Linked DNA regions of Coturnix japonica. The protein of the gene in region 2 purifies or fractionates together with the protein of the main gene of each other region. This does not show direct contact. Links are inferred from orthologs where the notes say so. Each region holds a gene or a part of one and is shown on either strand. Other genes may lie near its edges. The genes, in order: EPC2, MRGBP, EPC1, TRRAP, ACTL6A, VPS72 and BRD8.

Region 1 (3,500 bases), on a different chromosome or scaffold from region 2:
TCTGCTAGGCTGAATAGTGAAATAAGTAGAAGTGTGAGGGGGAGAGCAGTGCAACACAGCTGAATAAAATCAATATACTGGAACTGATCCAGTAAAGAAAAGGGCAACTGTGTATAACTTGCTGAAATATCAGATCTGAGAGTGTAATGTTTTGAGGGATACAGGATCAGGTGTATGTGTGTGTACCATGTATCAGCACGATAGCCTTACAGTTGATGAAAAATATTGCAGATATGCATATAAAATTAGATTTGTGTTACTGTTCCAAGGCTGTAGATGTCACTGATGTAAAACAGCCATTCCAGCTTCAGATAGGAAGATTTAAATTAGGACATATTGACTAAAACCAGCTTTTTGTAGGAATAGGGAGAAATGTTCTTAGACCCAGTTTTTTTTTTTTCCATCAGTGAATAGGAAGAGGAATCCTGAGAGCCACCAGTTTGAGTATGTGCTGTGCTTGATTGTAGCTAGAGCCTGAAGTTCTCCCACCATCTGAATACAGACAGCACTGCTTTGTAAGCTGGGAGGGGTCCTGTACTCCTCATTCTGTTGCCTTGAAGACCCAAGTAACTCATGGTGGTGCCAGTCAGATAAGGGAGGAGGTGATTCAAAGCATCAGAACTTGGCTTCTCACTCAGTCTCTATAGTTGCCTGGCTAAGCTGTGGTCCCATATGATGTACTTTTATGGGGAATGCTGCACTTTAAGACTCCTAAATTGAAGTGCATGAAGTTGGAAAATATAAAAGCTCTTTGACACTACAGACTCTTCCACTTTCTGATGTCTTTGTGAATGAAGCAAACAAAAAAAAACCCCCACTTTTAAAATACTCCTAAGCTTGACTGGAAAGAATTCTAAGACTTTTCATCTGTTTGAGTCCTTAAAGCAGTTAACACAGGGATGATTCCAGTGACTCACATGCTTAAATCATTACTGTTGAGATTTAACCTTTTGTCTTTAAATCTAAATGGCATGTTTTAATTAAAAACATTTGCTTTGCAACAGGAACCTCTAGAACGTTGTACTCCACCAACATGGCTTTATCATCCAGCCCAGGGATTTCAGCTGTACAGCTTGTAAGGACAGTTGGCCACACCACCACAAACCACTTAATTCCAGCGTTGTGCACAAGCAGCCCTCAAACACTTCCCATGAACAATTCTTGCCTGACTAATGCAGTGCACCTCAACAATGTCAGCGTTGTTTCTCCAGTCAATGTGCATATTAATACAAGGACTTCAGCACCATCGCCAACAGCCTTAAAACTTGCCACAGTTGCTGCCAGTATGGACAGAGTGCCAAAGGTAACTCCTAGCAGTGCCATCAGCAGTATAGCAAGGTAAGCGCAGAGCAAGTTAGAGCACAGATTCCAGTTAAAACTTCTGCCAGTTTGGAGCACACTAGTTTTGGTCGTCTTCCATTGTGTTTAAGTGGCTTCATTCTAACCATTTTCATTTGTCCCTTCTTATTCAGCACTTGCCAAGTAGATTCTTTCAAACTCTCCATGTGTTCTCTCTGCAGCTATATGTACCCATAATGTAAGATGCAGGCTGGCATATCTATTTTATACATATGTATGTGTGCATACACGTTTTGAATTCAAAATAGAAAACAGATATAAGCCAGTCTGTCTCTTACTATGCATGCCTTTATAATGTATAATTATTTTCATTTACGAGTACTTAGCCAGTACTTAAGTGTTCCACAGGAGTGGCAGTGGCTTGTAGCTGATTATGTTTTGCAAATGACAGCATTTGGGCTCTGTTGTAAAGGTCTCTGCTGGATTGTATGATGCTTTAAAAGCAAAAAAGAAATACTTGTCTATAGGTTAAGAAAGCAGAAAAAGAGCATTAGCTTTATCCATTATGGATTATTTCATGACATATCCAGAGTTGTTAAAAAGAGCTTTTGAGATGGAGAACCACACGTATAGTACAGTCCCTGTGCAGAGAGTGGAAAAGCTGTTTTTAAATTAGCAATTGCTTTAAAGCGTATTCCTGTATCATTAGTGCCTTTAGCTCTTGTTTCCATCGAGTCACAGGGGTGTTTCAAGTCAAGTCAGCATATGCCTGAAAAAGAACCATCTTAGCTGAATAGACCTAAGGCTCCTCTACAGGGGATGGTAATAAAGTCAGAAAGAAATTAGAATTTTTTTTGTGCTGAAACTGAACTGGAAAAAAATAGTTCACAAATGGAATAATTGGTAGCTGTTGCACAAGTCCTAATGGCATACCGTGACTCTGTTCCTTCAGGAGACTTATTATTATCTGTAATTTGGGCTGGTAATTTATAGTTAAATGCATTGAAGTTGGGACATCTCTGCTAATACTCTTGTAGAAGGAACTGCAATGTTCATGGGGTTAAAGCCATTCTTAAACCACCAGTATTTCAGCTTTAAATGGTCTGTTTCTATCTAGTGTGTATGTTAAGGTTTGTCCATAGCCATGTAAGAGCACAGAGCCTGTAAGAAATCACTGAAATTGCATAAGGAAATATCCGTGTTCTACCTGTAATTGTGGAATGCTTCTTTTGTTACAGAGAGAACCATGAACCAGAGCGGCTGGGTTTGAACGGCATAGCAGAGACAACAGTAGCAATGGAAGTGACATAACCTCAAATCAGTGTCTCAACCTGTGCTAACGGTGTAGTCATTTATATTCCAACCGAATGCAAAATACAGCACTCTGTGGATCACAGAGAACTAAAATGGACCTAAATGGACTATCCTTATATCGTGTATTAAGTCGATATATAATGTAAATTTTGTAAAATTGGGAGAATCACTACCTTGTAAAATAGTTTATTTGTATCATCAATATTATTTCTGTTACTTGAATAGTAGATATTCATCATCATGCTTTTGCACTTGAATTTGCAACTGAATGGATTAAAAAATAATTCTTTAATGGGATCATGAGCATGAAATGGGATCCTGCATCACTTGTTTTAACTATTTATTTTGCCATGTTTACATTTTGTATCTTGTACAAATAAATCCAACTTTGTGTCTAAAAAAAGAAGTTAAAGATTCATAGCTAGGAGACAAAATTCTTGTAATTTTTTTCTAAAGGAAATGTAAAGTTTTCACTTGGTTCATTTTGTTTCACAATTTGACTAGATGGACTTTTTGGTAAATACTTTAGTGGCATTTCACTGTCAAATATGAAGTTCAAGGCAAAATAGTATTTTCTATTACTGTGCAGGGGAAAGGGATGGATCGATACATGCAAATTTAATGTAGTAACTCACTTTTCCATATATTTTGAATGTATATTTCTATTTATAATACCAGTTTATAAAAAATAATTACACAGGAAAAAAAAAAGCTGACTAGGAAAATTATGCATCTGACACATATAAAATTGTGCAGATAAGAGAAAATTTTCAACCAATGACATTTTATCCGAAGACTGCATATTTTAACCGGCTTTAAAACTGTAACACACCACGTAAAGGACATTTTACCAGGTATGTATTGCATTATATATCATTGCAATAATT
Region 2 (3,986 bases):
TCACTTGTTTTTCCTAAACTTCCAGAGGGTGCAAAAACTGAAATAGGATCAAAGTAATGATTCCAGATCAGACTCACGCACATAGCAAACAAGAACTGACATAAAATCTCTTTGTATTATATGAAGCCTTTCAAATAAATACATTCTCAGCACCTTTAAAGATCCTCCAAACACAGACATAACCCAACCCCACTCTGTTCTCCTTCCCACTTAAGTATCTCATGTTTTGATTTATTGACCTTAATTTCTCATAAAGAAACCAAACACAGACAAGGCCACCAACCTCCATATCTGTCACCATACCAGGCTGCCCAGGGTCCCATCCAATCTGGCCTTGAACACCTCCAGGGGCATCCACAGCATCTCCAGGCAGCTGTTCCAGCACCTCACCACTCTCATAGTAAAGAGCTTCCACTGGCATCCAACCTAAATCTCCCCTCCCTCACCTTAAAACCATTTCTCCTTGTCCTGTTTTCTACCCTTTCAAAGTGTTGACTCCCCTCCTGTTCACAGGCTCCTTTTAGGTAGTGAAAAGCTGCAGTTAGAAGCTATATAACTCCATACATGAATTAGGAGCAAGGCAGGAATCTCCATTAGAATCAGATACTGGCAACTGCTTATTCCATGCATTCTTAAGTTACTTTAGTTCTTTACAACAAGCATATACTCAGTCTGAGCAGAAATCACAGAATACACCATATATGATATTTACATTTTAACATTAATATTTCAGAATTACAGTTGTTTTTTAAATCTCATTATGCTGCAGAGAGTTACAAATTTACCTTCTTCTGGACCTGCGTGTGTTTCCATCTCCTCTTTTATCTCCTCTTTCACTTCTTCTTCCATCATCACTTTTCCTATGGGAATAATCATTAAACAATGTTTAGATGGTTTTGAAGAAGGGTTTCTCCATTAGCAGCCTCAGCATTATGTGCACAGACATCAGGCGTAACTGCAACGCCCTTAGAATTAAAACATATAAACTATACTAAAAATAAGCACATCCTAACAATAAAAACACATTGGTTATACCAGCAACAGGTATTTGTGACAAGTCCAAATGTCTACCCCCAGAAGCTGAATCTACATGGTATAAACAGAACCTATGTGTGTGCCATACTAGCATTCATGTATATCAGATTTAAGAATACAAGGAATACCGTGTGGAACTTGACCAAGGGTCTGTACTGTCCACTAGTTTCCTTTCTACAGTGGAGAATCAAAGAGGCTGATAAATGGGGAATACGAACAAAACCAGCAAGGTGATCCTTTCCCTGATTACTTCCTTCAGCCAGCACATTCAAGAGATCTATCTGTTCTCTTCTAACACACCAGTCTGAAAGAACAGCCATGTATTTATGTTAATGGGGTACATTGTTATGTTCTTTTCTGGGTGTTCTGTTAAGCTGTTCGTTCTGTGATGGGCCTAGAGCAACAAAAGAAATAAAAGACTTCTATCACATCTTACCTTCTCTCACTTCTTGAATCAGCTCATCAGGAAGAATAAAATTCTTCTCTATATTTGGAAATGGAAGAATCTCAGACTCATGCTTAGGGAGAAAATAGAGATTTTTATGATTGTAAAGATTAAAATATACATATAGAATAGAAATGCAATCTCAAGCTCTATTTTAAGTGCACTCGGTAGCCAAATAATTAACAAGATATTCAGGCAGCAGAGATTAAAGATGCTCCTGACATCAAACTGGTTCCTAAGTTAATTGAGATCACAACTCATTGTGATATGAGTGATATAATGACCATTACAGATCATTTCTGGAATCAAACTGTAGCAAATTCTTAAATATACACAAGTTGTCTGTTTGGTACCTAAGTACCTACATAAATGTTTGCTGGATCAGCTCTTAGGCAATTAAAAATGGAATAAAGACACTGAAAAGTCAGAACTCAGTATGGCAAAAAAGAAAACGCAAACCAAAACAGTGTAAGTTTTATTGTCTCCCACCTAATGCACTTTCATACAGGAAAGAACTTCATCACCTTGCTGAAAACATACATCATGTTCTGTCACTTGTCAGCTGTCAGGTTCCAGGGACTATGACCAATCACAGCTCCTGAACGACAGGAAATTAAGTGCTCAATCTCCACTCCTTTATACTTACAAGAGCCTGCATGTCGTACATGGTGCTCAGATGGTCCCAAATCACTTTGGATGAAATCTGCCGTCCGATATTCTGACTGAATTTATCACGGATACAAATCATGTGAAAATGGCGATTCACACCTGGGGGGGAGGAGGGGAAACAGTGTAATTAACATCGCCAACAGCTTGATTTGTGCAGCAAAATAATATGAATCGTTAAAAACAAGCAAGCAAACAACCCATAATCACAGAGGAAATCATAGAGAGAGATCATACAGGGAGATGAATGGGCAGCCCTGCCTGGCTGGCCAGCACCGAGAGCTGGCCAGTCCCGCAGGCCGCTGGGGGCAGCAGCCCCACTCAGTGCCCGCAGCCCGCTACTCCAACCCGGCCAACGCCGCTACTCGAGGCCGAGGCTCGGCGCGGCCTGCTCTCACCTACGGGCTTGTGGCCCAGCATGGCGTGGAACAGGCAAACCTCCACTTCGGGGCTCCATACCACCACCGCTTCCTCTGCCGGCACGCCGGGCTCCGGGGCGGAGGCAGCCGCGGCAGCGGCGGCAGCAACAGCAGCGGCGGCGGCAGCGACAGCAGCGGCGGTACCGGGGCCGGCTGCGGGCAGCGGCGGTTTCTCCACGGCAGCGGCCGCGCCACCCTCCGCCTCCCCCATGGCCGCTCCGAGCCGGGCCGAGCCGAGCCGCCTCGCGGCGCCCTCTGCCGTTCCCGCAGCGGCTCCTGGCGGCCGGAGGGGCGGGCTGTGCAGAACATAGGGCTACCTCTGAAAGTACAATAGTATATGAATATCAATATCACTTAATTACCCACTATTATGTTGAATTATCTACGATATCATGGAGATTTTGTTAAGGGTCCAGAGGAGGGACAGGAAGATGATCAGGGGGCTGGAGCACCTCCCCTATGAGGACAGGCTGAGGGAGTTTGGTTTGTTCAGCCTGGAGAAGAGAAGGTTGCGGGTGACCTCATTGCAGCTTTCAATACCTGAAGGGAACTTACTGCCAGGAGGGGAGGAAACTCTTGGAAAGGGCTGACAATAGCAGGACACGGGGAAATGGTTTTAAGTTAAAAGAGAGAAGATTTAGGTTGGATGTTAGGGGGAAATTCTTCACTAGGAGAGTGGTTAGGCCCTGGAACAGGCTGCCCAGGGAGGTTGTGGATGCCCCGTCCTTGGAGGTGTTCAAGGCCAGGTTGGATGGGGCCCTGGGCAACCTGGTGTAGTAAAGGTGTATGTTTGGTGGCCCTGCCAGGCAGGGGGTTGGAACTACATGATCCTTGAGGTCCCTTCCAACCCGGCTCATTCTGTGATTCTGTGATATGATGCCAGTTTTCATGACATACATAGATTTCTACATGCCCGAATGCATGCATTTGAGGCCCAGTCCTGCACCAAATCACTCAGTAGCCAGTAAACCCTCATACAAGAGAAATAACCTCAGTGCCTTGGCATCTTTCAGTATTTCTCAGTAAAATATTCTTCCTGATAAGGACCTCCTGAAGAGTGCTGATTTGATTTGTGAGCTTTTCCCGTACTTTCAATCTGTTATTTTGGTGTGAAATGTGTGGGAAGTTTTGCTTCAGCGGAGCTGGATAGGGAGTTGGAACTATCAGTGGTGGTGGTTTGAAATAGATCTGCTTTTCTCCCACAGGACTTGTCAAGAAGGAAGAATCAAAAGGATGAGAAGCCTGTGTCTTGTTGGAGCCCTTTCACATAGAGCTCTTTACAGAAGTGCTGCTGCTTCCAGCCAAGAGGCAAGAAGATGCTCCCCGGGTTTCTTCCAATTACCCACATTCTTAGCAAAAAGCTGTTTGATTGTTTCAAACAGGGATATTGAACAGGGTGTGCACTCATAGACATGGCGTAA
Region 3 (3,500 bases), on a different chromosome or scaffold from region 2:
TTTCTGACGGTGATGGGCCTGAAAACGTAGCGGAGCAGGCAGTGATCGCATTGTGTGAACAAGATGCAGTGGGGTTTGTTGCCGTACAGGAGAGAGCTCTCCTGAAAGTACAAGTTGTGCATCAGGAGTGAGTGCTGCTCACAGCACTGACTGGGGAGTGTCTCTTTTATCCAGAGATGAAACCAAAGGAGAATCCTGAATGTGCACCATTGGCTGAATGTGTTCAGGAGAGTCAGATTCCAGGTTTGACTTGCTGTGAAACTGACAGCAGGTGGTTCTTGTGTCTAGGAGCTGTAAACTGAGAAAAACAAAAGATGTTAACGCTTTATGAAGCTAATTGATAAACGAATGGCACTTGTTTTCCACTGGGCATCCCCTCTGAGCGTGTACAAAGTGCTGTCCTTAGAAGTAGCTTTTTTCCAGGACTGGTGGGGTACGATGGCAGCGGGTTTGTCACATGCTGAATTCTGGGTCCCCCTGCAAAGATCTTAGGGAAGAAATTGAATTGGAGTTAGAATTTTGTCCCATGTAAAGTCATGAGCTAAACTTAAAACAGAAACGTTTCATTTGGACTTGCTCCTTTCAAGCCATTATCTGCGTAGCCTCCTGTTCATTTCCCTCTTCTTGTGTGGAAGCATGCCTTATTATTAATGCACGCAGCTCAGTTTAATGGAAGGTGGCAGCTTGTGCCATTTCTACCTGTGAAATTTTAATATTACAGTTCTGTGTGGGTTTAGTTGTTTTTGGTTCCTTCCTTGCCCTCCCTTTTTTGCTGCCTGGAGCACATACAGTGCAGCAGTGCAAGTCCACGTGCTTGAAACAAACAGCTCCAGGGGTGACTTAGTTTGGAAGGGCCTTTAGAAAGATGCTGGCCTTTCTGCCACGAAGGTGCTCTAGGGCTCTTAGGAGCTTGCTGGGGTGTATTTATGTGTGAAGGACTATGACATAGATGTGTTTATATACACAACACCTACCTATTTTGATATAGTATTCTCTCGTTTTATATTTTGTTCAGCATTTACAGCCGAACAATACCAGCAACATCAACAACAACTGGCACTAATGCAGAAACAGCAGCTTGCACAAATTCATCAACAGCAAGCAAATAGTAATTCCTCTGCCAACACATCACAGGTGAGGGATTTGTCTGTGCTATGATTTATCCCTCATTGTTTCCCACCAGGGTTCATCTCTAATTGTCAACTGTTGCCATAGAACCTTGAAACTAACCAACAGGAAAGTGGCTTTCGCCTGAATCTACATCATAGCCATTCTGTAAAGTGTTTAGAAGGGACACTGCAGGTGAGTGTGGCAGGCATTGCCTCTGCTCCCTCTTAACAAAAAACAAAAAGATGGGTCAGTCAAATAATTAAATACTCAGAGCCTTAGGAATATGAATTGCAAAGATCTCCAGCCGTGTCGTTACCCTTTTGGCACTGGGAGACTTGAGAGCCGGCTGTTTTCTTAGTTAACAACTAAAGCCGGCTCTGAATGTGTCCTTTGTGCAGATGTGGAAGTGTCTTAACGCTCAGCAGTGTGTGGTGTTTGCACTGAGGATGGACACGTCTTTAAAAACGTTCAGAAGTTACTGGCAATCTGAACATCTGAGGCACTGAACTGGGTTTGGAATTTCATGAGAACAGTTTGACCTGTAAAACAACGTTGTTCCATAGAACTTGGAAAATAAGTTCCTTTGTGTTCTATTAATAGTTGTGGGGTCTTTCATCTCTGTTGTGTCACGGAGCTAAAATCACATAGAGAGATCACAGCTCAGCTCTTACCTGCTTGTACCAAATGTCAGCAGTTGAGCCTTGCGAGAATGACTGGGCTGGTGTGATGTACGTGGATGGATTTTTGTTTCACTAGTTTGTGTGTAGCTTTAAAATGAGGAGAGTGCTGAGGGAACCCTGGGAGCCTCAATCACAGATGTGTGCCACCATTGTTCTTTTTAGGGTTTTGTTTCCAAGACACTGGATTCTGTTAGCGCTCAATTCGCTGCTTCAGCTTTGGTTACATCAGAACAATTGATGGGATTCAAAATGAAGGATGATGTGGTGCTTGGAATTGGGGTGAATGGCATTCTTCAAGCCTCAGGTACGGAGCTGTTTGTGCAGAATTTGATCGTGTCGTGGGTTTTATTAGAGTTGTTAATTTTTTAGTTGTGGAGATATGAGTTTGTCTGGGCTTGAGGAACTTCTGCACAACAGACTTAGTGTTTTGTTTCTCTTTTGCAGGAGTATACAAGGGCTTACACCTCAGTAGTACTACACCTACAGCACTTGTCCATACAAGTTCATCAGCAGCAGCAGGTTCAGCCTTGCTACAGCCTTCAAATATAACGCAGACTTCAAGTTCCCACAGCGCACTGAGTCACCAAGCATCTGCTGCCAATTCTGCAACAACTCAGGTTCTGATTGGGAACAACATCCGATTAACTGTACCTTCATCAGTTGCCACTGTAAACTCTATCACCACGCTCAATGCACGACATATACCTAGGACTTTAAGTGCTGTTCCATCATCTGCCTTAAAGCTGGCTGCAGCGACAAACTGTCAGGTGCCCAAGGTTCCAGCTTCATCCTCTGTGGATGCCGTACCGAGGTAGGCTGTTTCTCTGCTCTGTGTACATTTTCCAGTCGTTTTGCTATAAAAAGGTGTTTGTGGCAGACCAGAACTGGGTCGGGCTGGATGAATGCTTCTGTGGGAGTGAAGCACAGTGTGAATGTGGAAGCGTAAGATGAGGGTTATTTAGGAGTTGCGTTGCTGTTTGTTTTTCAATGTAATGCCTTTAAATGGGTCTGTTTCAGCAGCCGATGAGCTGCTCCGCCATCTTTTTTTCCAGTCTTGCTAATTTGTTGTCGTTGTTGTTTCAACAGGGAAAACCATGAAACAGAGAAGCCAGCACTGAACAATATAGCGGACAATACAGTAGCAATGGAGGTGACGTAGTTTCCATAGGAGTGGAACTGCAGCCTTGGGAACTTGTTTAGGTGCTATGCATCAGTAGCATTTTGAATGCAAGGGATGATGGAATGCCGCACATTGCGTTTCCATGGCAGCTGTGGGGACTTGACAGCGATGCACATCTCTCACGCTTTGGTTTTTCTTTTCTTACTGTTAATAGGAAAGAATCAACATCTGTAAATTAACAATACAGCAATTATCTGTACAGTACTGCATCTTTGTAATACCCTTGTATATATGTTACTTGAATACAAAACTGTTCATTTGTGATGCTTTGCACTTGGGGTCGGGGGGAGGGAGGGAAACAAACTGCAACAAAGTAAGAGTGTGAGATGTGAGATTGTATAGAGATGAACAAGTGTCATCACATCATGTGCATGGTGCGGAACCTGCTGTTTTATCTATTTATTGTGCCGTGTTTACAGTTTTTTGTACACTGTACCTTCATTGGTTCCTGTGCTGTAGTAAATGTGTTAGGTAGCTGTGGACTCCTTGGTATTTTGTAAATGGTATAACATAACTTGGTTCCCCTCTGG
Region 4 (3,500 bases), on a different chromosome or scaffold from region 2:
CTGCTATTCAAGGTTATTTGAAATATTTTTTTCTCTTATATCCTGTGAGTTTTGCTTCTAGTCTTAGTGCTTTTAATCTCAAAATACTTGAAGTAATTGGCAAATTTGAGTATTTCCATTATGTGTCACTAAGAAGATTCATGGTTATGAGCTGCCCCCCAGTTTATTATTTGATAGGCATTTTTAAAAAAATGGAGTTTCTGACTCCATCTGAAATTGATTTTACCACAGATAGAATGTGATGGAGACCACACAGCTGGGACTTCGGAGCTGTTTCTCTTTAGGAAGCCACCATTGTTACAGTTTTGCTTTTCCAAGTCTAGCTTGCATGGAGCCATGTGGTCTTGCAGATGTGGGCACTGTTTTACCTGCTTCAGGGAGATGTTTCTAAGAAGCAGCAATTGGTGCTGTGCAGTGCAGCAGGATTTCTACCTCTGTCTTTCCCTGTCTGCTCGGATGATCTGCATAAGTCTTTGGAACTTGGGAGATGTGCAAGCCTTTGGGAAGGAATATTGCTTGGAGAAAAATGGCCCCAGCTAAGGGAAGAGAGGCAGCTGTTTGGTGAATGTATTAGCTTAGTTTTCTGATGGGGGTTGAAAATTGCATGCTTGCTTCAGAGTTGCACATTTCTATTTAAAGCATAAAATGTTGGCTAAATGGGCTCTCCTGTAATGAATTTATTTTCTTATGCAGCAAGAACCTCTGTTTAAGATAATGTAATTTGATACTGCCATGAATGTTCTGACCAATTGAAGAGGGGGAGAAGAATAACCACTGTTCAATTTTGTTTTCAGGCAACATAAACTTTATAACAAAGAACTGTATGCTGATTTTATCGCTGCTCAAATTAAAACATTGTCTTTTTTGGCTTACATCATCAGAATTTATCAGGTAGGTTGCATTTTTGTTACCTTACTATTAAATGCAACAGATCTCTCATTACTCTAAGGTGGGAAAGCTACTTGTATGACTGCTGGAGAGAAGAGCAATTGAGTAGCAAACCTGACCACATCTGTAGGGCTGTACTCAGTTATGCTTTCAAAAGTGTTCTGATGTGAACACGAAATAAAAGCATGTATAGAATGGCTACTGTGTTTTATTTTCACAAGCAGACTTCCTAAAGAGAAGTCACTGAATTTTAGTACAATCTTCTATTGGAGATTCAAAAACAGAGTTTTAAAGCAGAGTATAATAATAATTTGTTTTTTCATTTATTTTTTATAGGAATTAGTGGCTAAATATTCTCAGCAAATGGTGAAAGGAATGTTGCAATTGCTTTCCAATTGTCCAGCAGAAACAGCACACCTCCGGAAGGAGCTTCTGATTGCTGCTAAGCACATTTTAACAACAGACTTGAGGAGCCGTACGTATGGTTTTCTACAGTGTATCTATACATTGATAAGGTTTCAGCTATTTCTGTGTATCTAGTAGGTACATTTGTGTACGATTTGGTTTGGACTATTACACACTTCTCGCTACTTTGGAAAGGGGGTGAACTTAGCTTTCAGTTCTGTTCTTTTTGGGTGCCTCTCTTTATTTGAGGTTTTATTTTCCTTTGTGTTATTTGAAGGTGGGATCACTCAACACTTCCTGTCATTGCCATCATCTGCCCTTTGGATGGAGTGAACTAATCAATTCAGTCTTTTTGAATTCTATATTTAGAAAGAAAAAAAAAGCGTATTTGACCTTGCTTTTTCATTTGAATTTGTTACTGATAGCTCTTCTTATTTCCTTGAATCCCAAATTCCATGTATTCTTTCTCACATTTTGGGATAGAGCTTGAATGATAGATGACACACCAAACAGCGTTTTCATGGGCAGTAACTCATTAGTTGCTTCTAAAAAGTTCTGTGAAGTTGAAATTAATGGAACCACTTTTTCCAGCTGTAGCTGTTCTCATTATATCCATCCATAGTGTTGCTTTGACTGTTCTGTGAAGTTACTCAAGGGGCAAGTGCCAGGAGAGTTATAAGAGTTTGACTGAGAGCTTTCATGTTTCAAGAGTAAACTTTCTGTCTTTGGTTTCAATATGTACAATGAGTTGCTTAGTGCTTAACGATCTAAGTATTTATTTAGCTTTCATTTTCTTTCTTTTTTTTGAATTACAGAATTTATTCCATGCATGGACAAACTGTTTGATGAATCTATATTAATTGGCTCTGGATATACTGCTCGAGAGACACTGAGGTATGGCAGAAAGGTTGGAATGTCTTTGTGAGTGCCTGCCATGGCTGCTTTCTTTCAGGGTTTGCTAATATTTAACTGTCTGTATAGAATTTTAAGACTTTATAGGGCTCATTTTCATGAAGTCATGAGTAACTGAGGATTAATTGTGAAAAAGCTTACCAGCACAGCTTCCAGTGTGGTTTGAAACATCTGAATTGTTATGGAGATGATGTTGTGTGTGGGGATGTTCAGCAGTGGGTGAATAAAGATCCAAGTAGTTCTAATATTAGTGTTGTGGAATGGATTAATGCTTCTTCGGTGAAGTTATACAGATTGTAATTTTTATGTGTAATTGAAAAAGCCTCAAAGCAATGTGTTTGCACATAAAAATAGAAAATTTTAATTCAGAATCTTGGAAATAGATCAGGTGGTGATTATTGGTTAAGTCCAATTAGCAACTGTTATAATTGTTCTCAATGTGTTTTCTTTGTTTCTTGTTTTTTACTGACAGGCCCCTTGCATACAGTACACTGGCAGACCTGGTGCATCACGTCCGGCAGCATTTACCTCTCAACGATCTCTCACTTGCTGTCCAGTTATTTGCTAAGAATATTGATGATGAGTCGCTGCCTAGCAGTATCCAGACAATGTCCTGCAAGCTCCTGCTAAATTTGGTTGACTGTATCCGGTCTAAAAGTGAACAGGAAAACGGGAATGGTAGAGATATTCTCATGAGAATGTTGGAGGTATTGACATGTTTAAAATTTTTTATAATAAGTTGAATAGCCTAATTAGTGTTTTGTAGTATATTATCAGTCACCCTTTACTCCCTCCTTCAGAAATGAGAATATACCAAAACAGCATGTTAACACCTCGTGGTACACTTGAATATGTTTGCAGTTATTCGAGCTGTTCCAGAAATATGGTTTTAAACCTTATTGATTTAAGTATGTTCAATTGAAGGATTAGGGTTATTAAATGTAGAATAATTTTTAATTCTAAGGTGGGAACTTACTTTCTTTTTTTCTTCCCCTCTCCCCTCTGCTCTTCTGTTTCCTTTCTTCCCTCTCCCCGCAGGTGTTTGTTCTGAAGTTTCACACCATTGCACGATACCAGCTTTCAGGGATTTTTAAGAAGTGCAAACCACAGTCTGAGCTTGGGGCGGCTGAGGCTGCATTGCCTGGAGTGCCAACAGCAGCAAATGCAGCACCTGTTCCTGTTCCATCTCCTGCTCCAGCCACTCCAGTGGCCCCTGCGCCTGTACCTGTGTTTGAAAAGCAAGGGGAGAAAGAAAAAGAAGATAAACAGACTTTTCAGGTTACAGACTGCCGAAG
Region 5 (4,073 bases), on a different chromosome or scaffold from region 2:
AAGACAGCTAACAGCCTGAACTTCCCTCCCCAGATCCTCCAGGCTTCTTTGCACAGATTTAGTCTCTTATCTTTGCACTCACCAAATCCTGAGGCTTCCAGACAACAGCAGGACTTGCAGCATACATTCAGTTCTCACTATCGGCACCAGGCAATTGCTGAGCAGGAAAGATTGGTCGTGCACAGGAACGCCCTCTCCCCATGCTGCACAGCCACACGCCTCTTCTGCTGGCACCACTGGGAGATCTCAAGTGCTGCAAAAGTTACAGATAAATGAAGCAGCAGACGGCTGTCTTGGTGTCTCACAGAATGACCTGGGTTGGAAGGGACCTCAAGGATCATGAAGTTCCAACCCCCCTGGGCCCCCTGTCTCACCCACAAAGCTATCATAAGCCACTCTTGGGGAGAGCAGGGTCTGCCCCAAAGCATCAGTTACCACAGGGATGTTATGAACCACTATGAAAACAAAGCCCAAGTACAGGCACAAGCTGAAGAAACGTCCCCCAGTGTTTTAACACCCATTTTGCTTTACAGCCTTCCCCAACTGCAATTAATTCATCCTTCTCCACCAACTCTACCTTGGGTATTAGTGCCACGTGCTAGAAATCACTATAACACATTAAAGGGCACCATAAAATAAATCAAAGCACACCAACATTACACAGTACAACTAGTGGCAAAGAAAGATTTGTGCTGATCTTCCTCATGCAAACACCTATAAAACTCTTTGAAAAGGCTGACAATAGCAGGACATGGGGAAATGGTTTGAAGTTAAAAGAGGGAAGATTTAGGTTGGATGTTAGGGGGAAGTTCTTCACTAGGAGAGTGGTCAGGCCCTGGAACAGGCTGCCCAGGGAGGTTGTGGATGCCCCGTCCTTGGAGGTGTTCAAGGCCAGGTTGGACGGGGCCCTGGGCAACCTGATCTAGTAAAGGTGTATGTTTGGTGGCCCTGCCATGCAGGGGGGTTGGAACTACATGATCCTTGTGGTCCCTTCCAACCCGGGTCATTCTGTGATCCTGTGGCACACCCACCTCAAGAGCTCCTCCCTCAGCTCCTCCCTCAGCTCCTCCTCCAACTCCTCCCTCAGCTCCTCCCGCCCCTCTCTCCTCACACCGCCCTTCCCGCGCACTGCACCTACACTTGCTTGCTCTCACTCTCCTCTACCAAGCTCCTCACTTCCCGCCTCATGATTGGCTACTCATAAGCAAGCCCCTCCTCCCTCCCTTCTCTGATTGGCCGCTGTGCCCACTCAGCCGTTCTGTTGGGTAACGCTCTGCAGTGCGGGCGGGTGGGCGGACGGCGGCGGCGCTGCCATTGGCGGGAAGGCGCGGGCCTGCGAGCTGCGCTGAGCCGGGCGGCGGGGCGAGAGACCGAGTGCTATTGTTAGCACAGCGCTGAGCAGCGGGCAGCCATGAGCGGCGGTGTGTACGGCGGAGGTGAGTCTGATATAACGACACTGTTGAGCTCCCTCAGGCCCGGCTCCCTCCCGCCGCATCGCTCCGTGTGTGAGGAGAGGAGGCCGCCGCGGGCCCAGGGTCCGTCCGACCCGTCTGGGTCACCTGCAGGGATGGGGCACACACAGCAGTGCCAGGGTCTCACTGCCCTCTCTGAAAAATTGCCCCCTAACATGCGACCTAAATCTCTTCCTTTAGTGTGGAACCATTCCCCATCGTCCTGTCACTATCAAACCATGTAGAAAGTCAGTTTCCCTCTTGTTTATAAGCTCCCTGTAAGGCTGCAACAAACTGTCACTGGCACCTTCTCCAAGCTAAGCAAAGCCAGCTCCCTTTCTCCATAGCAGAGGAGCTTCAGCCCTTTGATTGTCTTGACCCTCCTCTGGACTCACTCCAACATCTCATTCTTATGCTGGGGGCCACAGGCCTGAATGTGGTACAACAGATGGGACTTGGCGAGGGCAGGGCACAAGGGGATGGTCACCTTCCTTGCTCTGCTGGCCACCCCTCCCCTGATGCAGCTCAGGATGCTGTTGGCTTTCTAGGCTGAAAGCACACACTGCTGGCTCATGTCCAGCTGTCTGAGTCTCAAGTCCTGTGCAACACCTTGTACGTGGCCTTGTTGAATGTCATGAAGTTCATGTGGACTCGCTTCGCAAGCCTGTGTTTAGATGCAGCTCTCGTCTGTTAAAATTGCCCTTTTTCTTTTGCCAATGAAAGGTATTGCAGTGTCCTGGTTACAGCCTATCTGTAACCTCCTGGTGGCTCTCAGTTAGCTTGAATTCTGAATAGAGAAATTGCTCTGTGTCTCAGGAAAGATGCTTTATCATATTGGGCTTTTTTTTGTTTGTTTGTTTGTTTTCTGGCAAGCAAAGCAGACAAGAGATAAGTTCAGGTCAGGATTGCAGTAGAGCACAATAACCATTCACTACTTCTTTGTTAACAATCTTTGCAGATGAAGTTGGGGCTCTTGTTTTTGACATTGGCTCGTATACAGTGAGAGCAGGCTATGCAGGCGAAGACTGTCCAAAGGTAAGAATCTTTATGAACTCAGTGGGATTACAATTGGAGCTTGAACTTGTTTATTAGTCATAAGCTTCCAGAATATACTGTTTATTATTATTTAAGGAAAACTCTGAATTTTATTAGCCCCCTAAAAAACAAACCAATGAAAAACAAAACCAAAAACCAACAAAACAACCCACATCCAAAATGAATAACCTTCATCAATATTTTACCTTTTGCTTTACAGGTTGATTTTCCAACAGCTATAGGCGTGGTGCTAGAAAGAGACAATGGCAGCACTCTGATGGAGATAGATGGTGACAAAGGCAAACAAGGGGGCCCAACGTACTACATAGACACCAATGCCCTGAGAGTCCCAAGGGAAAATATGGAGGCCATTTCACCTTTAAAAAATGGAATGAGTATGGTGCTCTGTCTTTTTTAGCTGTCTTTAAGATACAATTGTTAGGCTGCAACAAGTCATAGCTTTCATGTAAACAGATGCTATCCATGTCAACTGTTTTTTCCTTTGGACTTAGAAAGCAGGCTCGTAAAGAAACGGTTCTGCTTTCACTTAAGATATTTTAATACGATAATGAGCATTTTTATGTCTTAATGGGAGACTTGTAGATTCTTGTTTATTTGATGGCTTTAATTTAGCTGTCTCCTTTGATAAAACAATTAAGAAACAAGTTTTTGGAAATAGTTCCTAATATTGTTCCTGTAACGTGTATGGACAGAGGCTATCAGCCATAAGAATGGCTCAATTTACAAAATGTCAGTGGACTTTTATTGTAACTTATTTATTTATTATTATTTATAATAACAATTCTTATTTGCTGTCATGATGCTTAAAAAAATATAGATGAGAATTTGGCAAAGCAGGAGGGGTATAGGGCTGCTGAGGACGGCTTTTGTCTGAAGAGCTCTTAGGAAAAAAAAAAACATCAGGAAAACTTTATGTGGATTTATGAAGTAGATCAAAAGTTAGAAGTAACTAATCTGCTTGCTTCGATGTCGTTGCAGTTGAAGACTGGGATAGTTTCCAGGCAATTTTGGATCACACTTACAAGATGCATATTAAATCTGAAGCGAGTTTGCATCCTGTCCTTATGTCTGAAGCACCAGTGAGTAAAAGGAGCTTTGCATTGTGAGGAGACTTATCAGTATCTTCTTGCTGAATCTATAGACATTAGTCTTGGAGAAACCCAGCACTGGCTTGTAGGTTATGAGTGTTAAAACTGAACTACAGAAGTAACATTTAAAAATATCATGCAGGTTCTGGAAAGTATTCTCAATAGGAAAAATGTCAAAAAAAAGCCCAAATTTGAAAGAATTTCTATGCGTTTCATTAGAACACACTTACTATGTGTTACTGTATTTCATGTATTTAAAAAAAAAAAAAAAAAAGTAGTATAAAATCAAAAATAACCTCACTTGACAGCACAGAATAAAAGCAAAAAGTTGTCTGAATGTCTTCATATATTACACTTAATCCATCTTTGCATGCAATCAGCCTGCCATCTAACGTGACAGGGAATAACACGTGTAGTGGAGTTTTAATTTCGTTTCAGCAAATGCTCCTGTAACATAAATGAGGTGCATGAACACAGA
Region 6 (4,101 bases), on a different chromosome or scaffold from region 2:
GTCTAAGAGAGGCCCCAGAGATGGGATGAGAGCTTTAAATGCTGCACTGCTGGGGATCAGCCGAAGTGAACGCACTTCACATCACGCAGCTCTGCCACCAAGATTGAAACCCAGCAGGAAAAACACCCTGACCAACACCAGACTGCCCTGCAAAGCAAACGGCGGCGCAGATCCCAGCAGGGAGGGAGAAGAGGTTGAGACTCGTGCACTTCTATCCCATGTGAAGCTCTCCACGCTCTCTGAGCTTTATGGAGGCGGCAGCTCCTCCTCCGGGTGAGAGAGGTGAGATGTGTGACATCTCCGAGCTCCCAAAGGGAACTCAAAGCACGGCGGGAGGAGAAAGAGCAGCTTCACCCTGAGCCGGCAGAGCCACGGACCCCCCCATTCCTCACAGCGCCGTGGGAACAGCAGGGAGCACCAACAAAGGGGGCGGGGAGGGGGCACAGACCCATTTCCAGAGGCTCCAAATGAGGAGCGCGATGCCAGGAGGCCGCCGAGATGAGGCCCCGCTGGGCAGCAGCCCCCCAGCCGTCCCCCTTTGGGCAACCAGAAGCTCTCCGTGCTCTGCCCTGCAATCAGGAACGGCCTCAGCGCTCTGTGCCAGGGACGGCGGTAGAAATCACTCCGGTTCCACGTCCAGCATCCCTAAACCAGACCCATTACCACCAACTTCGAAGGCAATAAGGAGTGTAAGCCCCCTCTCAACACTGACACGGCCGAATCGCAGCTCTAAGTGCCCCCCATCATCCCTACCCCGGGCCGAGGGCAGCCCCACACCCCCCATATCCCCCACATACATCACTATATGGTGACCAACCCCCCTCCCCCCCACACGGTGCCAAACGGCCCCACAGCCCCCAACGGCCGCGACACCCCACCGGGCAGGGGGAGACCGTCACCTCAACCCCCCCCCCCCCCCCCCCCCCCCCCCCCCCGCCCCCCCCCCCCCCCCCCCCCCCCCCCCCCCCCCCCCCCCCCCCCCCCCCCCCCCCCCCCCCCCCCCCCACCAGCCGCTCCTCGTCCCTCCGGCTCTCAGCTCCGCCTCCCCCGCCGCCCCCGGGCCCGGCCTTAGTCCCCCCGTACCCCCGAGGCCGCCGCTGCTGCCGCTGCTGCCCCCCGACTCGGGCCCCGCCGCCGCCATCTTGCCGCCTCCTGCGCCCGCCGCCGCCTCGCGCGAGGCCACGCCCCCTCGGTACCACCCACGTATGGAGGAGGGGGGGGATGTGAGTCACGTGCTCCTCGAGCAGCCAATAGAAATCAACCCAGTCTTCCGGACCTCCGGGCCGCAAGGGGGCGCTACATCGTTCGCTCCGCCCCTACGGCAGGACGACGAGTCGAGCGCCGATGGCGGCGGAGGCGCCGCGATGAGTTTGGCTGAAGGCCGCGCCCCGCGGCGCACGGCGGGGAACCGGCTGTCGGGATTGTTGGAGGCCGAGGAGGAGGATGAGTTCTACCAGACCACGTATGGGGGGTTCACTGAGGTGCGACGGCCGGGACGGGCTGGGGCAGGGGGGCTGCGGGGCGGTGTGAAGCCTTAGAGGGGGGACCCGGGGCCTAAAGGGGGTCGGGGGTCGTGAGGGGTCCGGGGAGTCGTCAGGAAGGAGATTTATGGGGGTGTGAGGTGGACTGAAGGGTTTGAGGGGGTTGTGAGGCCTTAGACGGGGGTTGGGAGGGAACCCGGGGCCTAAAGGGGGTCGGGGGGGTGCGGGGGGTCCTCAGGGGAGGCCTGGAAGGGGATTTATGGGGGTGTGAGGGGAGATGAGAGGGTTGCAATGGAGGCTGAGTGGGATCGGGGACATTTAGAGCCCTGAAGGGGTTGGTGAGGGAAACTGGGGGGGGTCCTGGAGGGGCTGGGGGCACTGAGGGGTCAGAATGGGGACGGAGGCACTTAGGAGGACAGAATGGGGCAGGGGTGGCTTTAGATGGTCTTTAACAGGGGCTCCAAATGGGGCTGGGAGGACCCCCAGGGGCAGCTGTCAATGAATGGCCCATGGGGGGGTGGTGGAGCGCAGCCCTGGCTGTGACGCTGCCCATCTGTCCCTGCAGGAGTCGGGGGATGATGAGTACCGGGGCGACCAGTCGGACAGTGACGATGAGGTGGACTCCGACTTTGACATCGATGAGGGCGAGGAACCGACGAGCGACCAGGATGAGAGCGAACCCAAACGGCGCCGCCGCGTGGTCACCAAGGCCTACAGGGTGAGGAGGGGAAAGTGGGGATGGGGCTGGGTCCATCCCAGTGTCCTCTGACCTGCTGGGAAGGGATACGGATGGCCCCAGATGGATGGGATAATTAGCAATCTGCTAATTGCTGACTGTGGGGAGGACGTGTCCCTTGGAGGACATGGGGCAGCCCCATGTGGTTTCTCCCTCCTCACATCCCTCCTGCCCAACCCTTAGGAGCCCATCAAGAGCCTTCGACCCAAGAAGGCCGACACCCCCAGCAGCAGCTCCCAAAAGGCCCGAGAGGTGAAATTAGCCCCACTGGAACTCCAGGATGAAGTAGGAGACAGTGAGTGCAGTCAGGATGGGATGTGCCAGCATCCCTGGGCTGGAACCAGGCACCCCACTGCCCTGGGAGCTGTGCTGGCCCCACACTGAGCCCCATCCTCCCACTGCAGGCCGGAAGCACATGAGGCAGTCAACAACAGAGCACACACGTCAGACCTTCCTGCGTATCCAGGAGCGCCAGGTTCAATCCAAGCGCAAGAAGGGAGGCCCCAACTACGACCGCCCGCTGACACAGGAGGAGCTGCTGGAGGAGGCCAAGATCACGGAGGAGATCAACCTCCGCTCGCTGGGTGAGGAGAGCACAGGGATTGGGAATGGGATGGGGGGTGTAGTGGGGGGTGCTGAGACCCTCTGGGCTCATCTCTGCTTCCCCAGAGAACTACGAACGCCTGGAGGCTGATAAGAAGAAGCAGGTGCAGAAGAAGAGGAAATGCGTGGGGCCCGTGATCCGGTACTGGTCCGTCACCATGCCCCTCATCACAGAGCTGGGCAAGGAGGAGAATGTGGACGTGGAGGGGTGAGTTGGGAACAGCAGATGGGATCCTGATGCTTTTCCCTTATGCTGCACACAGTCCCCATCGCTCCCATCCCTGGGGCTCAGTGTGGAGCAGCATGTTTAGTGCTGCCCACAGCCTGGGCTCCCCCAGCTCCGTGCATCCCTTAGAGCTGATTGTGGCTCTTCCAGGTTGGACCAAGACCCTCAGCAGGCAGAAGCTGCTCCAGCCTCCAGCTCCAAGTGCTCCCGCACCTTCATCTCCTTCACTGATGATGAAACCTTTGAACGTTTCTTCCCCAAATCGAAGGCTCCGCGGTTGCCGGTGCGGGAGATCTGCCCTGTAACCCACAAACCCGCTGTATATCGTGACCCCATCACTGACATCCCCTATTCCAACATCCGAGCCTTTAAAATCATCCGTGAGGCTTACAAGAAATACATCACGGCCCACGGGCTGCCCAGCGCCGCTGCTGCATCCGCTGCTTTGGGGGCTGCTCCTCCTGGCCCTGACCCTGGTCTGAGAGCCACGCGGCAGAAGATCATCATCAAGCAGAGCGTGCCCACGGCCTGAGAGCGCCTGTTCCTTGTTCCATGTCAACCTGTTTTGTGTTGTTGTTTTCTTGGCTTCTTTTTTGTAATAAAAAGGAGAAAAAAGAAGGAGCTGGAGGTGAGGGGGGAGCGCAGGTCGTGCCCTTGTTGCTGGGTTATCCAGCAGGATGAAATGAAGCCTTGTTTGCAGGCAGATCCATGCAGTGCCCCACACACCCTCCCATAGTGTTCAGATTGGGGCTGGAGGTGAGAAGGGCACACAGGCGGTCTCAGAGCTGTGGGATGTGGGGCAGCTCCGGGACATGTGGGGCAGCCTCTCTCTGCGGTGATAGAGGTGCCTCCCACAGCACCAACCCCAAACCTTCACCCCCCCCCCGATGGGGCGGACGCAGCGATGAGCCCCGATGCCCCGGGGGGGTGGGGGGGGCTCCTGAGGGCGGCGGGTACCGGGTGGAGCAGCGCGGGGCGCTGGTAGGGCTCGATAACAGCGGGATATGTGATCTCGCCCCTCCCCACTGCCGGCTCGCAGAATAAAACGCTGATCT
Region 7 (2,611 bases), on a different chromosome or scaffold from region 2:
ACAGGTGCAAATCCCAGGCTGTTTCCTGGGGGGAGTGCAGGATTCTCATTTCTGTTTTGCTGAGTGGGTCCAGTGGGGGAATTTGTTGATGATTTGTCTGGCACTAGATTGTCCTTACTCAGAAGTGCAGGTGTTCAAACAGTGCTGTAGTGCCAGGTCCCATTTTTTATATTTCTCTCTGGCTTGGGTTACTGTAAGCATGACAAAGGCAAAATGAACCGTAAGGTTTCTGCGCCAGGGCAGTATGGAGATTCACAGAGGAAATCATATTCTGTTTTTTTCTCAGCTCAGTGTGCAGTGAGGATCAGGAAGCAATACAGGCTCAGAAGATCTGGAAGAAAGCCATCATGCTGGTTTGGAGAGCAGCGGCTAATCACAGGTGAGTTTGATGTCTTGAGAACTGGCAGAAAGAAGTGACTAATCTCAGGCAAGTCTGTACTTTCCCAGCTCTGAGGCTTTACCTGCCTTGTTATGGGGAGATGATGAATCACACTGTTAGTGATAGCAGACAAATAAACATGAGAGCATGACACAAGTATTTGAGAATTGTTCCTCTATTGGCAGGGGCAGGGCATTCACTGGAATCTCTCTCTATCTCTTTAGGTATGCCAATGTCTTCCTGCAGCCTGTGACTGACGATATAGCACCAGGCTACCACAGTATTGTGCAGAGGTGAGTCTCAGCATTCTTATGTGACAAGAACTCTGGTGTATTTGCGTAAGAATTTCTGCCAGGAAGAGTCTAGAGTTCATCCATTGTTCAGACTGCAAAACTTGAAAAATACCTTTCTTCTGACATCATTCATTGTATTTCCCTAAGAAAAAGGGACACCTTCAGTAACACATACAAGTCTGTACACAGCCCTGTCCTTGAATGAAATACAGATTTGACCAGAACATTTTTTTATCAGTGAAGTGGTATGTGACTATCAGCTTCTCTGTTATTGTCCAAGGGTTGAATTTAAGGTGTGATGTTCCCACAACCCGGATTCTTTAATCAGCTCTTTTATTGCCTCAGAAAGTCTAGATTATGGAAGAGTTACCAAAATGTGCCTAAATAGTCCAGTGGTTGTAGCTGTGGCTCCCTTGTGTCACACGGAATGCTTGGAGAAGGCAAATGCCTCTCTTGAGGCAGCTGTTACATGTACTTACCATTCCTGTTAACTGCTGAGCAGATTGTGTCTCCTGATCTGAAGCCTTGGAACTCAGGAATGCAGCCTATGTGGGAACATATTCTGCTAAATTAAATAGATGGTCTAATTAGATATGTTTTAGTCCTTAGACTGCAAATGAGAAAGGAGAGAGTTACATGTTTGCATTGCTATTTTGAATGTATTTCATAGGCCGATGGATTTATCTACCATCAAGAAGAACATTGAGAATGGACTGATACGAACCACAGCTGAGTTCCAGCGTGACATTATGCTGATGTTTCAAAATGCAGTTATGTACAATAGCTCTGACCACGATGTGTACCATATGGCTGTAGAGATGCAGCGAGATGTCCTGGAACAGATCCAGGTAAAGTACTGAGCTGAGGCTGTTTCAGAACAGAGTTGTCTGCATTGGTCCACAGGTACAGGAAAGACTTCTGGAAGTGAAAATGAAGTTTCACTCACAGTGTCTTCAAATGAATCCCCATCTTTGCCTGCTTGTACTAGCTTAGGTGTTTGTGGTGAACTGGATTGTTAAAACTAACACAGTGAGATGTTTGTTTGGCTTAGCCCAGACTAATTTCAAACCTGATTTCCTTTGGGGGTGCACATATGCTTAGGCCAGCAAGAACTGGGGTGTGGTTCAGGAACAGAAATGAGCAACAAGATCAGTGAATGACAAGGGACGCAGCTGCTGCTTTTGGTGACTGTCAGTCTGTGCTGGCTTGAGGCACATACAAAACTGTCCTGAGATTGTCCTTTGAATATGTATCATTAGAATTTCTTCTGAAGCAGAACGTCCCAGCTGCCAGGGCTGTCATAGTTTGAACTGGATTTTTATAGTCCCTCCAGACTTGTGGCTGCTGAGGTGAATGGGGAAACTTATTCTGAGCAGCAAACAAGGAACTGAAACTGTCTCTGACCCATTCGTTCCCAGCCCTGTGGTTTGTGATAGCTGACAAGCTTTAACTGAGCTTGTTTTGCTAGAGAATCTTAACAGAGTATGGTTTTCCTGCAGCAATTTCTGGCTACACAACTGATCATGCAAACGTCAGAGTCGGGGATCAGCGCAAAGAGCCTGCGTGGGCGAGACTCCACTCGCAAGCAAGATGCTTCAGAGAAGGTGAGAATGCTGCACCCTGCAGAAGGGCGGCTGGTGTCTTTTGGAGGATCTCAAGATACCACATAAAGTTCCAGTACCAAAGATGTGCAGAATGTGTTTTTAGATTGGAATAGGTCCTGCATCTTCATGTGAACAATTTACTGTTATTATGTTTCTTTAACTAAGTCCATTGATTAGACTTCAGCTCTGGGGATGTACATCAACCCAGAGATGGGTCTGAGAGTCATGAGTTATTTCTGCAATCCCTATGTTTCTGTCCGTGATTTCAAGAGCAAGTGATGAAAAGTGTTGTGAAATGAGGAAATATTGGAGGAAATATTGGAGGAGGTGTGGTA

What was found.
Region 1: the proteins of MRGBP (region 2) and EPC2 purify together in Homo sapiens (co-immunoprecipitation; 4 studies listed by BioGRID and IntAct, counting the BioPlex papers as one, with this or other methods). This does not show direct contact. The link is inferred for Coturnix japonica from reciprocal best matches to the Homo sapiens genes MRGBP and EPC2.
Region 3: the proteins of MRGBP (region 2) and EPC1 purify together in Homo sapiens (affinity purification with mass spectrometry; 6 studies listed by BioGRID and IntAct, counting the BioPlex papers as one, with this or other methods). This does not show direct contact. The link is inferred for Coturnix japonica from reciprocal best matches to the Homo sapiens genes MRGBP and EPC1.
Region 4: the proteins of MRGBP (region 2) and TRRAP purify together in Homo sapiens (co-immunoprecipitation; 3 studies listed by BioGRID and IntAct, counting the BioPlex papers as one, with this or other methods). This does not show direct contact. The link is inferred for Coturnix japonica from reciprocal best matches to the Homo sapiens genes MRGBP and TRRAP.
Region 5: the proteins of MRGBP (region 2) and ACTL6A purify together in Homo sapiens (co-immunoprecipitation; 4 studies listed by BioGRID and IntAct, with this or other methods). This does not show direct contact. The link is inferred for Coturnix japonica from reciprocal best matches to the Homo sapiens genes MRGBP and ACTL6A.
Region 6: the proteins of MRGBP (region 2) and VPS72 purify together in Homo sapiens (co-immunoprecipitation; 5 studies listed by BioGRID and IntAct, counting the BioPlex papers as one, with this or other methods). This does not show direct contact. The link is inferred for Coturnix japonica from reciprocal best matches to the Homo sapiens genes MRGBP and VPS72.
Region 7: the proteins of MRGBP (region 2) and BRD8 purify together in Homo sapiens (affinity purification with mass spectrometry; 10 studies listed by BioGRID and IntAct, counting the BioPlex papers as one, with this or other methods). This does not show direct contact. The link is inferred for Coturnix japonica from reciprocal best matches to the Homo sapiens genes MRGBP and BRD8.

The regions. Positions count from the first base shown.
Region 1 is NC_029522.1:31,150,190-31,153,689, reverse strand, and holds part of EPC2 (enhancer of polycomb homolog 2), read left to right. Parts: intron 1-1,004; coding exon 1,005-1,338; intron 1,339-2,537; coding exon 2,538-2,610; 3' UTR 2,611-3,500. UniProt on the Homo sapiens protein: May play a role in transcription or DNA repair.
Region 2 is NC_029535.1:7,458,414-7,462,399, reverse strand, and holds the start of MRGBP (MRG/MORF4L-binding protein), read right to left. Parts: upstream 2,801-3,986; 5' UTR 2,777-2,800; coding exon 2,545-2,776; intron 2,249-2,544; coding exon 2,127-2,248; intron 1,554-2,126; coding exon 1,472-1,553; intron 861-1,471; coding exon 786-860; intron 38-785; coding exon 1-37.
Region 3 is NC_029517.1:12,828,581-12,832,080, forward strand, and holds part of EPC1 (enhancer of polycomb homolog 1), read left to right. Parts: exon of another isoform or gene 1-298; intron 299-1,015; coding exon 1,016-1,134; intron 1,135-1,215; coding exon 1,216-1,302; intron 1,303-1,781; exon of another isoform or gene 1,782-1,952; coding exon 1,953-2,094; intron 2,095-2,234; coding exon 2,235-2,601; intron 2,602-2,876; coding exon 2,877-2,949; 3' UTR 2,950-3,500. UniProt on the Homo sapiens protein: Component of the NuA4 histone acetyltransferase (HAT) complex, a multiprotein complex involved in transcriptional activation of select genes principally by acetylation of nucleosomal histones H4 and H2A.
Region 4 is NC_029529.1:1,402,507-1,406,006, forward strand, and holds part of TRRAP (transformation/transcription domain-associated protein), read left to right. Parts: intron 1-794; coding exon 795-891; intron 892-1,224; coding exon 1,225-1,363; intron 1,364-2,108; coding exon 2,109-2,187; intron 2,188-2,677; coding exon 2,678-2,912; intron 2,913-3,243; coding exon 3,244-3,500. UniProt on the Homo sapiens protein: Adapter protein, which is found in various multiprotein chromatin complexes with histone acetyltransferase activity (HAT), which gives a specific tag for epigenetic transcription activation.
Region 5 is NC_029524.1:15,354,701-15,358,773, reverse strand, and holds the start of ACTL6A (actin-like protein 6A), read left to right. Parts: upstream 1-1,273; 5' UTR 1,274-1,411; coding exon 1,412-1,436; intron 1,437-2,409; coding exon 2,410-2,486; intron 2,487-2,706; coding exon 2,707-2,881; intron 2,882-3,485; coding exon 3,486-3,586; intron 3,587-4,073.
Region 6 is NC_029540.1:2,245,309-2,249,409, reverse strand, and holds VPS72 (vacuolar protein sorting-associated protein 72 homolog), read left to right. Parts: upstream 1-1,301; 5' UTR 1,302-1,364; coding exon 1,365-1,481; intron 1,482-2,046; coding exon 2,047-2,199; intron 2,200-2,400; coding exon 2,401-2,512; intron 2,513-2,621; coding exon 2,622-2,801; intron 2,802-2,886; coding exon 2,887-3,028; intron 3,029-3,196; coding exon 3,197-3,578; 3' UTR 3,579-3,664; downstream 3,665-4,101. UniProt on the Homo sapiens protein: Deposition-and-exchange histone chaperone specific for H2AZ1, specifically chaperones H2AZ1 and deposits it into nucleosomes.
Region 7 is NC_029528.1:11,890,451-11,893,061, forward strand, and holds part of BRD8 (bromodomain-containing protein 8), read left to right. Parts: intron 1-286; coding exon 287-379; intron 380-603; coding exon 604-672; intron 673-1,342; coding exon 1,343-1,520; intron 1,521-2,171; coding exon 2,172-2,276; intron 2,277-2,611. UniProt on the Homo sapiens protein: May act as a coactivator during transcriptional activation by hormone-activated nuclear receptors (NR). Isoform 2 stimulates transcriptional activation by AR/DHTR, ESR1/NR3A1, RXRA/NR2B1 and THRB/ERBA2.